Linked DNA regions of Canis lupus familiaris. The protein of the gene in region 1 interacts with the protein of each later gene in a pairwise test. Links are inferred from orthologs where the notes say so. Each region holds a gene or a part of one and is shown on either strand. Other genes may lie near its edges.

Region 1 (3,845 bases):
ACCACCCGTGGCATTGAAGGACAACAAGGAGGAGCTTCGCTGGTATATCTGTTGGTTGTCGAAGCTGTGAGTGCTGAAAGTAACCTTCCTGGCCATCATCATTTCTGAGTGCATGGGATAGTGGGAGGGCAAGGAGTCCCCTGAGGAGCATACCTTCTTGGGTCCTGTGGGGAAGAGCTCATGGATGGCACTGCTGAGCTCAGCAAAGTCCAGGGGCATACAGTGCAAGGAGTGTAGCCGGAGTTGCGGGTCAGGCCTATAGGTGCTCTGGATGCCATCTTCGATCTGGTCCACGAGAATCTTGGCAGACTGCAGGAACGCCACCTGGCCTGTCTCCTTCAGTGCTTCCTTGGAATAGGCGATCAGGCCATCCATTTCATTCACTTTCATGGTTGTGACGTACACATATTTTTCAATCTCCTTCTGCCTAGACACCTCCAGATTCTCTATCTGCTCCATGATGGACTTCTCCTTCTCCTGTAGAATGCTGCGCAGCTTGAGAAATCCATTTCGGATCTCTTTTCGCTTCACCTCCTTGTCAGCTTTAAAGCTGTTTTTTAAAATGTTGAACTCCATTAGGTCATTATCAATCTCATAGCGGACTGCAAAACAACCAGGTTAGTTACTTTCGTTAAAATTTTCATCTCCCCAGGTGTCAAAGCCGATGGCAGACTGGAGAAATTTCCCATGGATCACGAGAAAGTGGGCAGAGAGGGAGGGAAGCCTCTTGTAGTTGAACTGAATTAGGCTAGAACAGGTTTATGAGGTGTATCTGGCCTCCCTCAGGACCCCCCTCTCGGCCTCCTTATCTAATACTTCCCTCAGGAATAACAGCCTTTCTTTCTTGGCATAGTTATATCTAATTTCGGTGGCCCTGGGTTGAAATGGAAAGTCCAAGGCCACCCTTGATATGAATTTTTACCAGATTTCTCTTGTCACCATATTGGACTTGAGAAGAGGTGATGGTTTTCCCTATGTGAAAGGTAATAAGCTTCTTCAGGGGCAAGAGAAAGAACTAAATTTCTCACAACTTCTAAATGCTGCCTCGCCTGCCTCATTCACCAAAAACCTAGCCCTAGATAACAGGAGGAAATCAGCCGGGCTCCCTCTCTTGCCTTGCCCCCATTTCCTTCCAAGAAAGAGTCTGCTATTGCACTCAAGGAGAACCTAATTTTTCCTGTATCCTCTTATGTGGCTTTGGATTTTAGGTTCACTTAGGCATTCAACAAACATTCACTAAACACCTGTTTCATGTCACATGCCTTCCAAGGTAATAGCGATACAGATATGAATATGAAAGGGCACTGATGCTCAAGGCACTCATAAATATGATGATACTACAGTATAGAGGGTGCTAAGACAGAATGTATGTGGCACATCTCTGTGAAATGAGCACCTTTGTTGGCTTTACAGTGATTTAGGCATCAGGCAGCAACAGCTATGTGAAGACATGTCAACCTTCTGTGGCCTAAAGGTAAGATCTTATCCTGAACAGCCAACTTTGCAGTGAATTGATGGGCTATAATTCTCACCAAATTTTACTCAGGAGTAGGGGTGCCCAAGAATTATTTTGTACTTGGTTCTTAACATTGTCCCGGGTGCAGAGTAAGCTGGACTTTTGTGGGTGGTGGCCATTGGAATAATGATGTGCATTTGAGTAAGAGAAACTCAGGAATCCTTTTGGGCCATGAGAACCGGTGTGACTGCTGTCTTGGTTATCACTATGACTAGGATGTGTAGAAGGGCTTGAAAGGTATTTATTCAGTGAAAGTCAATGTGTCCTGTTTTTTAACATCTTTAGGGTAAATGTCACTCTCTGGCCTATTTTGTGAAGCTGCCGTTTCCTCTGCCCTCAAGCTGGCACAGAAGGAATGAGGAGGCGATACAGATGGGGGCTGAACAGGAAACAATCAGGTGATTGCAGAGGTGCTGAGAAGTGCTTCCTGCTCTCCCCTGATGCAAACTCTACTGTGGCTTATGGCAGCTGAAATTCAACTTTATTCATTCATTTCTTTGACTATTCAATAGTTACTCACTGCCAAAGAAACTTGTAGGAAATTCCTTGCTTTATTAGGGATTAAGTTTGTGTAAACTCCTGAGAGGTAGGATAAAAATTCCTTAGTTGAGGGGGAAAGAGGCAGCACCAAGAGAAAAGAAAGAGGAGGCCAGAAGCACTCCTCCCCCATCTTACAAATATGACAGCTTTCCAAGAGCTGGTCCTAGAGCAAAGTTAAATCAAGATCTCTTTCAGGCAATACTCTTAAAAGTAGGTATTATTTGTTAACCATTTATTATAGACCAGACCTATATGATACACATATTATGGATCACATCTCTATATTATCATATACAACACGTATCTTCCTATGAGGAAGATATTGTTCCCATTTATAGATGAGGAAACTAAGGCTCCAAGAAGTTAAGTTACTGTCCAGTGTCACACAGCTAGTAAATGGGAGAGACCAAGTCCTATCTCTAATTCTATAAGTCTGACTCCAAAGGCTATGTTTTGAATTGCTCCAGTGTGGTTCTCAGCCCTCTATGAGCTCCAAAATCCCCTGGGGAACTTTATTTTTTTATTTTAAAAATTTTATTTATTTATGAGAGAGAGAGAGAGAGGCAGAGAGGCAGAGATATAGGGAGAGGGAGAAGCAGAGGGAGAAGCAGACTCCCTATGGGGAGCCTGATGCAACACTTGATCCCAGGACCCTGGGATCACAACCTGAGCCACCCACATGCCCCTTCTAGGGAACTTTAAAGAAAACTCTTCTCTTGACCTCACTTGCTGAGATTCTGAGTTGGCCTGAGTTGGGGCTCAGGAATCCAGATGAGGCATTTTGCTGCTGCAAATTAGAATCTAATTCAAGGAATTTTGGGGGGATCTTGTTAAAAATGCAGATTCACATGAAATTAGTATGGGTGGGGCCTATGATTCTGCATGCCTAACGGGCTCCTGAGTGGTGCCATTGTTGCTGGTCCTAGTTAGCTCCCCAGGTGGTTCCAATGTGCAGCTGGGATCAACACCACAGTTCAATCAATTGACCCAAACTTGATCTTCCCTCCCAGGCCCAGAGTTTCTCAGTGTATTGTCAGATCATCTGCTTTTGAATTACCTGAAGATCTGTTTAAAATGCAGATTTATGGCACCTTCCCCAAAAGTGAATTGAGTCCTTAAGAGCAAGTTTGAACCCTGGTTACAAAAATGGGGGGGTGGGTGGGTGTGGGTAGTGGTAGTTCCCTTAGCAAGGATAGGCAGGGTTAAATTCTTTACCTACATATAAATGGATATGCCTTGAAGGTGACCCCTGTCTCCTTCCAATTGCTGGGCTCTCTGGAATTTGTACTGGTGTCCCTTTACACTGAATTGAATTTCATTGTCTGGTTCCTAGGTGCCCTGGACTCTCAGAAACTACCTTGGGTTTCTCCTGTGTTAAAAATCCAGGCTTCCTGTGGTTGCATGGGGGCCACAGCAGACTGTAGGCAGCAGTCCTTTCCCCATGCTGAGGCCCCAGAGAATCTAGCTGAGCCAAGGTAGGGAGTTAAGAAAACCTTAAGAAAACCCATTAGGAACTAAAGGGGCTACCCATTTACTTGGCAATGTGGCTCCTTTAGAGTTTCTTTAATATAGAGACTTCCCTGGTGGTGGTTCTAAAACTGAATAAATATCAATTGATAAACAGTGTCTCCTAGTAGAAGTAATTGAGAAATGAAGGTATTCCAGAAATATCTATGCTAGGGAGAGGTACTAGGTGACAGAGTTAGCAAAGTCCATCTCTGACCCATTTCTATGTCCAACAGGACCTCTGTGCAGCTCAGAGAAAAACTGCCTCCCACTCATATGTTCA
Region 2 (4,005 bases), on another chromosome or scaffold:
GGATTTCTTTATAGCCTGGCCATCAAATCTAAATTAGTTACTTAAGCAATTTTGTTAAAAAGAAAAAAAACACTTTACTTACACCCTGGTGTCTCCAACTAATCAAACTAAACTTTATTTCACTTGGTATATTAAAAAAATTGTCCTCATTTCAGGGGTTCTCTCCTATTGAAATGATCTGTATGAAAGTCTAGAATACTTAGTGTCTCTTTCAAGTCACTTGTCAACAAAGCAAAACTCTTTTCTCCTCATGCCATCATAAAAACTAAATTTCTAAGAACCATAAAATAAAACAAATATTCCTTTGACCCAGAGTTCACTTGCTTTTTGGAAAACAGGAAAAGCTCTGTGGTAATTCTGAATTGCTGCAAGGTAAGTAACAAAACGCAAAGTAATAACTGAACAGAAAGAGGATGAAACAATGCCGTGAGAGCCACCAAACTACTACACATACACACACAAAAAAACTTCTCCTTAACATATGGAATTTGTACGAGTCTTCCCTTGATAATAAAGTCTATGTTGTCAATAACCATTACCATATGCTATTTAAGTCTGCCATCACTTTCAAGTTGGGAAATTTCTTGAAGCCAAGTGGCAGCAATTCAGTTCAAAAAGCTTTCAAAGTGCCTCCTCAATGCCAGGCAGGGAGTGGAAGCTAAAGAAACCTATAAATACAACATAAAGTACACTCTCCGCATTGCCGCTTTACCTCCTATCTCCGGTAGCCATGATTCAGACCAGATCACTCATTCTTTGTATTATAAAACTACCTTCAAGAACTAAAAAAAAAAAAAAAGGAAAAGAAAAAATTTTCCTGCCGCACCTATCTGATGGGGCAGGGAAAGGAAGGTCGGGAAGGAAAGAGGCATTTTCTCTTCTATTCCTTCCTGAATAATCACCAATCTAGCATGCTTGCCTTTCAAGCCCTCCTAAAACATCAAAATTCAGTAGGCCTTTTGTAAAAGTGGTACTTAAGAATAACACTCCGGGATATGATGATAGCATTTAAAATTTAAAAACTTGTTACCGATCAAAAGATCCAATGCCATGACAAAGCTAAAAATGTTCTCACTAATAAGAGTGAATCAGAGCAGTTACCTACTCCACCCAATAGCCACCCTTGCTAAGACTGGACAGTTTGAAACCTGGAAAGCTTTCTTGCCTGCTCCAGAAACGAATTTGATTTGATACATTAGCGTTTAAGTGTAACTAAGTAATAGCAAGAAAATGTTACCAGATACTGAAATTTATCAGGACACTCTGTCCTTTAGATTTATCTGTACCTTTTTCAGCTACAGAACTAGAACTCTCGCCACCCCCTCCACTGATTTTTTTTTTTTTTTTAGTACGGAAAAGCTCCACGGATACTCTTGCTTGAAAGATGAGCTACCTGTTCAGATTTCTGAAGTACAAATTCCCGTTACTAGCTTTGCGAGGAAAACCTATTCCACGCAGAAGTGTCTCTATCGAAAAGGTGCCTGCACGTTCGTTCGAAAAGGCTGGAGCCTGCGAGCTGATGCCGCACATTTCAAGGCTTCCGAGATCTCAGCCCGCGGATGAAAATGATGTTCAGTCTTGCACAGACCTACTTGGATGTTTCAAAGTTGCACGGTTCGGGAGCAGCCCATCACCTGGGCAGAGATCTGCTTCCCCACCACCACCACCACCACCACCACCCCGCCCTGGAAAAGCAGCTTTTTGAGTCTCACGAAGCGAAACAACCACATCTCCAACCGTCCACGCGTCCGCAGACAATCAGGCAAGCCCCGGCCCACGTTTCTTTCCCCGTCCCCGTGAAATTCTCAATGAAAGGCTTTCACACACAAAAGGACCGGCTCCCGCCACCCCTTCCCTCCTGCGCAGCTCGGACGAGCGCGCACGAGCGCGGACTCACCAGCACCGTGGTGCAGATGGACCTCAGCTCGGACTCCACTTTCTCCCGATAGTCCTTAATCAGCTGCAACTTCTTGTCCGAGGTGTCGGTTTTCTGCTCGATGCTCGAGATGACCCGCCAGGCGGACCTGCGGCCCCCGACCACGTTCTTGTAGGCCACCGAGAGCAGGTTGCGCTCCTCGTTGGACAGCTCGGCGCCCTGCTCCGTCACGGCCTTCATGCAGGTGGCCATGTCGTCGTAGCGCTCGGCCTGCTCGGCCAGCTTCGCCTTCTGGATCAGCTCCGTCTTCTCCATGGGGACGCGGAGAGGAGAGCGAGGGCGAGCACCGACCCGGATCGCGAGGAGGCGTGCGGACGGCCTGCGGGCGGAGAGGCGGGGGCGGCGCCCTCAGACAATGCGCCCGCCGCCCCGGGCCGCCCGCCCCGCCGCCCCTTTTGTCCGTCCCCGCACGCGCCGCCCAGTTGAATTTCCCTCCCCCGCCCACGCTCCCCGCCGGCGCCCGGGAGGCCGAGGGGCGCCCCCCGCGGAGGCGGAGGCGGCCCGCGCGGCTCGGGGGTGGGGGGAGGCAGGGCCGCGCCCGCGCCCGCGCCCGCCCGGCCCAAGATGGAAGCGGCCGTTGGCCCACACCTTGCCGCCAGAGCCGACCCGAGGAGCGCGGCGTCGAGGCCGCCCACTCTCGCGGGGCCGGCCTCCCGCCCTGCCCTCGGGCCCGGCCACCGGGGACGACCCGGGGCGACCGCGGCGCTCACCTTCACGTCTCCGCGGCCGCGGCGCGAGTCCCACCACTTTGATCCGCTTTGGGCTTTAGCCGAGGACCCTCCCGTCTCAGCCTACCCCGGAGCCGAGGGGCGGGGCGCCGCGCCGCGGCCCTCGCTCCTGTCGCCCAATGACGCGCCGAGCTGCTCCCGGGAGTCCCGCCTCCGGCTCCGCGGCTGGCCAATGAAGGCTGAGCGCGCGGAAGGGGGCAAAGAGGGCGGGGCGGGAGGGGAAGCGGAGGCTAGGAGGGTGGGTCGGCTTGGGCAAGTTCGGTTGGCCGGCAGGCTGCGGCTTCGGCCACGGGGTTTCCTCCAATTAGATCCAGGGTAAAAGGACGTCACTGTTGCCATGGCGATGCTGTTACCAACTCCCCTCAGCCTCCCCGCCACCCCCAGCGCTTGTGGGTGCGGCACGGGAGCGGGAGGTTCGCACCACCTCTGCCGCCGTAGCAGCGTCTCCTGCTGCAGCAGCGCTGCAGATCGTGCATTGCATCTAGTGCGTTGCACCTAGCGGGCTAATGCAGCCGCGGCTCCACTCGGCCCTGGCGGGGAGGACCCGCGAGGCTGACCTAAGCGGCTCTTTGGTTGCACAAGCCCCTTTCTTTCCTCCACCTTCCCATTCGTGACAAAGGTTTGGAGCTCCAGACGCTGAACGCAGCCTTTAATGACGTTGCGATTGGAGCTGCGAATTAGAAATAATCCCATCCCCGTTAAAGAGGAATTTGTTCCAGGAGAAAGTCGCTTAAGAATGTGTCTTCGTGATCAACTCGAGTTTTCAGGCGGGCACCCAAAACCTAAAATTCTCTTGTAAAACCCCCAAGAAAGTCCAGGCAGGTCTCTCGGGCAATGGCCAGATATTCTAATTTTATTCTGACAGTCAGGATGTTTTGGAGAAAAACACACATTCAACACCCCTCCCCGCCCAAAGCAGCTGTTGTTATATCTCTTCCTCGTCTTTGCAGGTTATGCATCTAAATACATGTTTTTTCCATCTCGTTTTATGTGTATATGGGTTTTGTTTTCTAGTATTATTTTTCAGAGCACACGTGAAAACCTAAACTTGTCTCCCTCGATGTTCACTTTTGACTTTCTCCTGGACTTTCTGCTGTTCACACTCTTGAGAAGTGAGAAAGTTTGCCCCAGATGCTTTGTATTGGGGTCATCTCTAGCACTTTCTTTCCTCTTTAAAACTAGGCACACCCCTCCAGCCACTCCCTTCTCTCCTGGCACTTTGCCAGTGCCTGGCACATAAGGTAGCCCGTCCTGGGTGTCTGGGAAGAGGCCTCTGTGCCATCCTAAGATGAAAATTGCCATCTGGGCTCACACTGCTACGATTCCAGTTCTAGCACGTCT

Evidence for each region. The genes of interacting proteins can lie anywhere in the genome.
Region 2: the proteins of TRIM42 (region 1) and YWHAQ interact in binary tests that used the Homo sapiens proteins (3 or more experiments, as listed by UniProt). The two-hybrid records come from large-scale screens. The link is inferred for Canis lupus familiaris from reciprocal best matches to the Homo sapiens genes TRIM42 and YWHAQ.

What each region holds. Positions count from the first base shown.
Region 1 is NC_049244.1:37,247,408-37,251,252, reverse strand, and holds part of TRIM42 (tripartite motif-containing protein 42), read right to left. Parts: intron 603-3,845; coding exon 1-602.
Region 2 is NC_049238.1:6,702,214-6,706,218, forward strand, and holds the start of YWHAQ (14-3-3 protein theta), read right to left. Parts: upstream 2,801-4,005; 5' UTR 2,647-2,800; intron 2,256-2,646; 5' UTR 2,192-2,255; coding exon 1,898-2,191; intron 1-1,897. UniProt on the Homo sapiens protein: Adapter protein implicated in the regulation of a large spectrum of both general and specialized signaling pathways. Binds to a large number of partners, usually by recognition of a phosphoserine or phosphothreonine motif.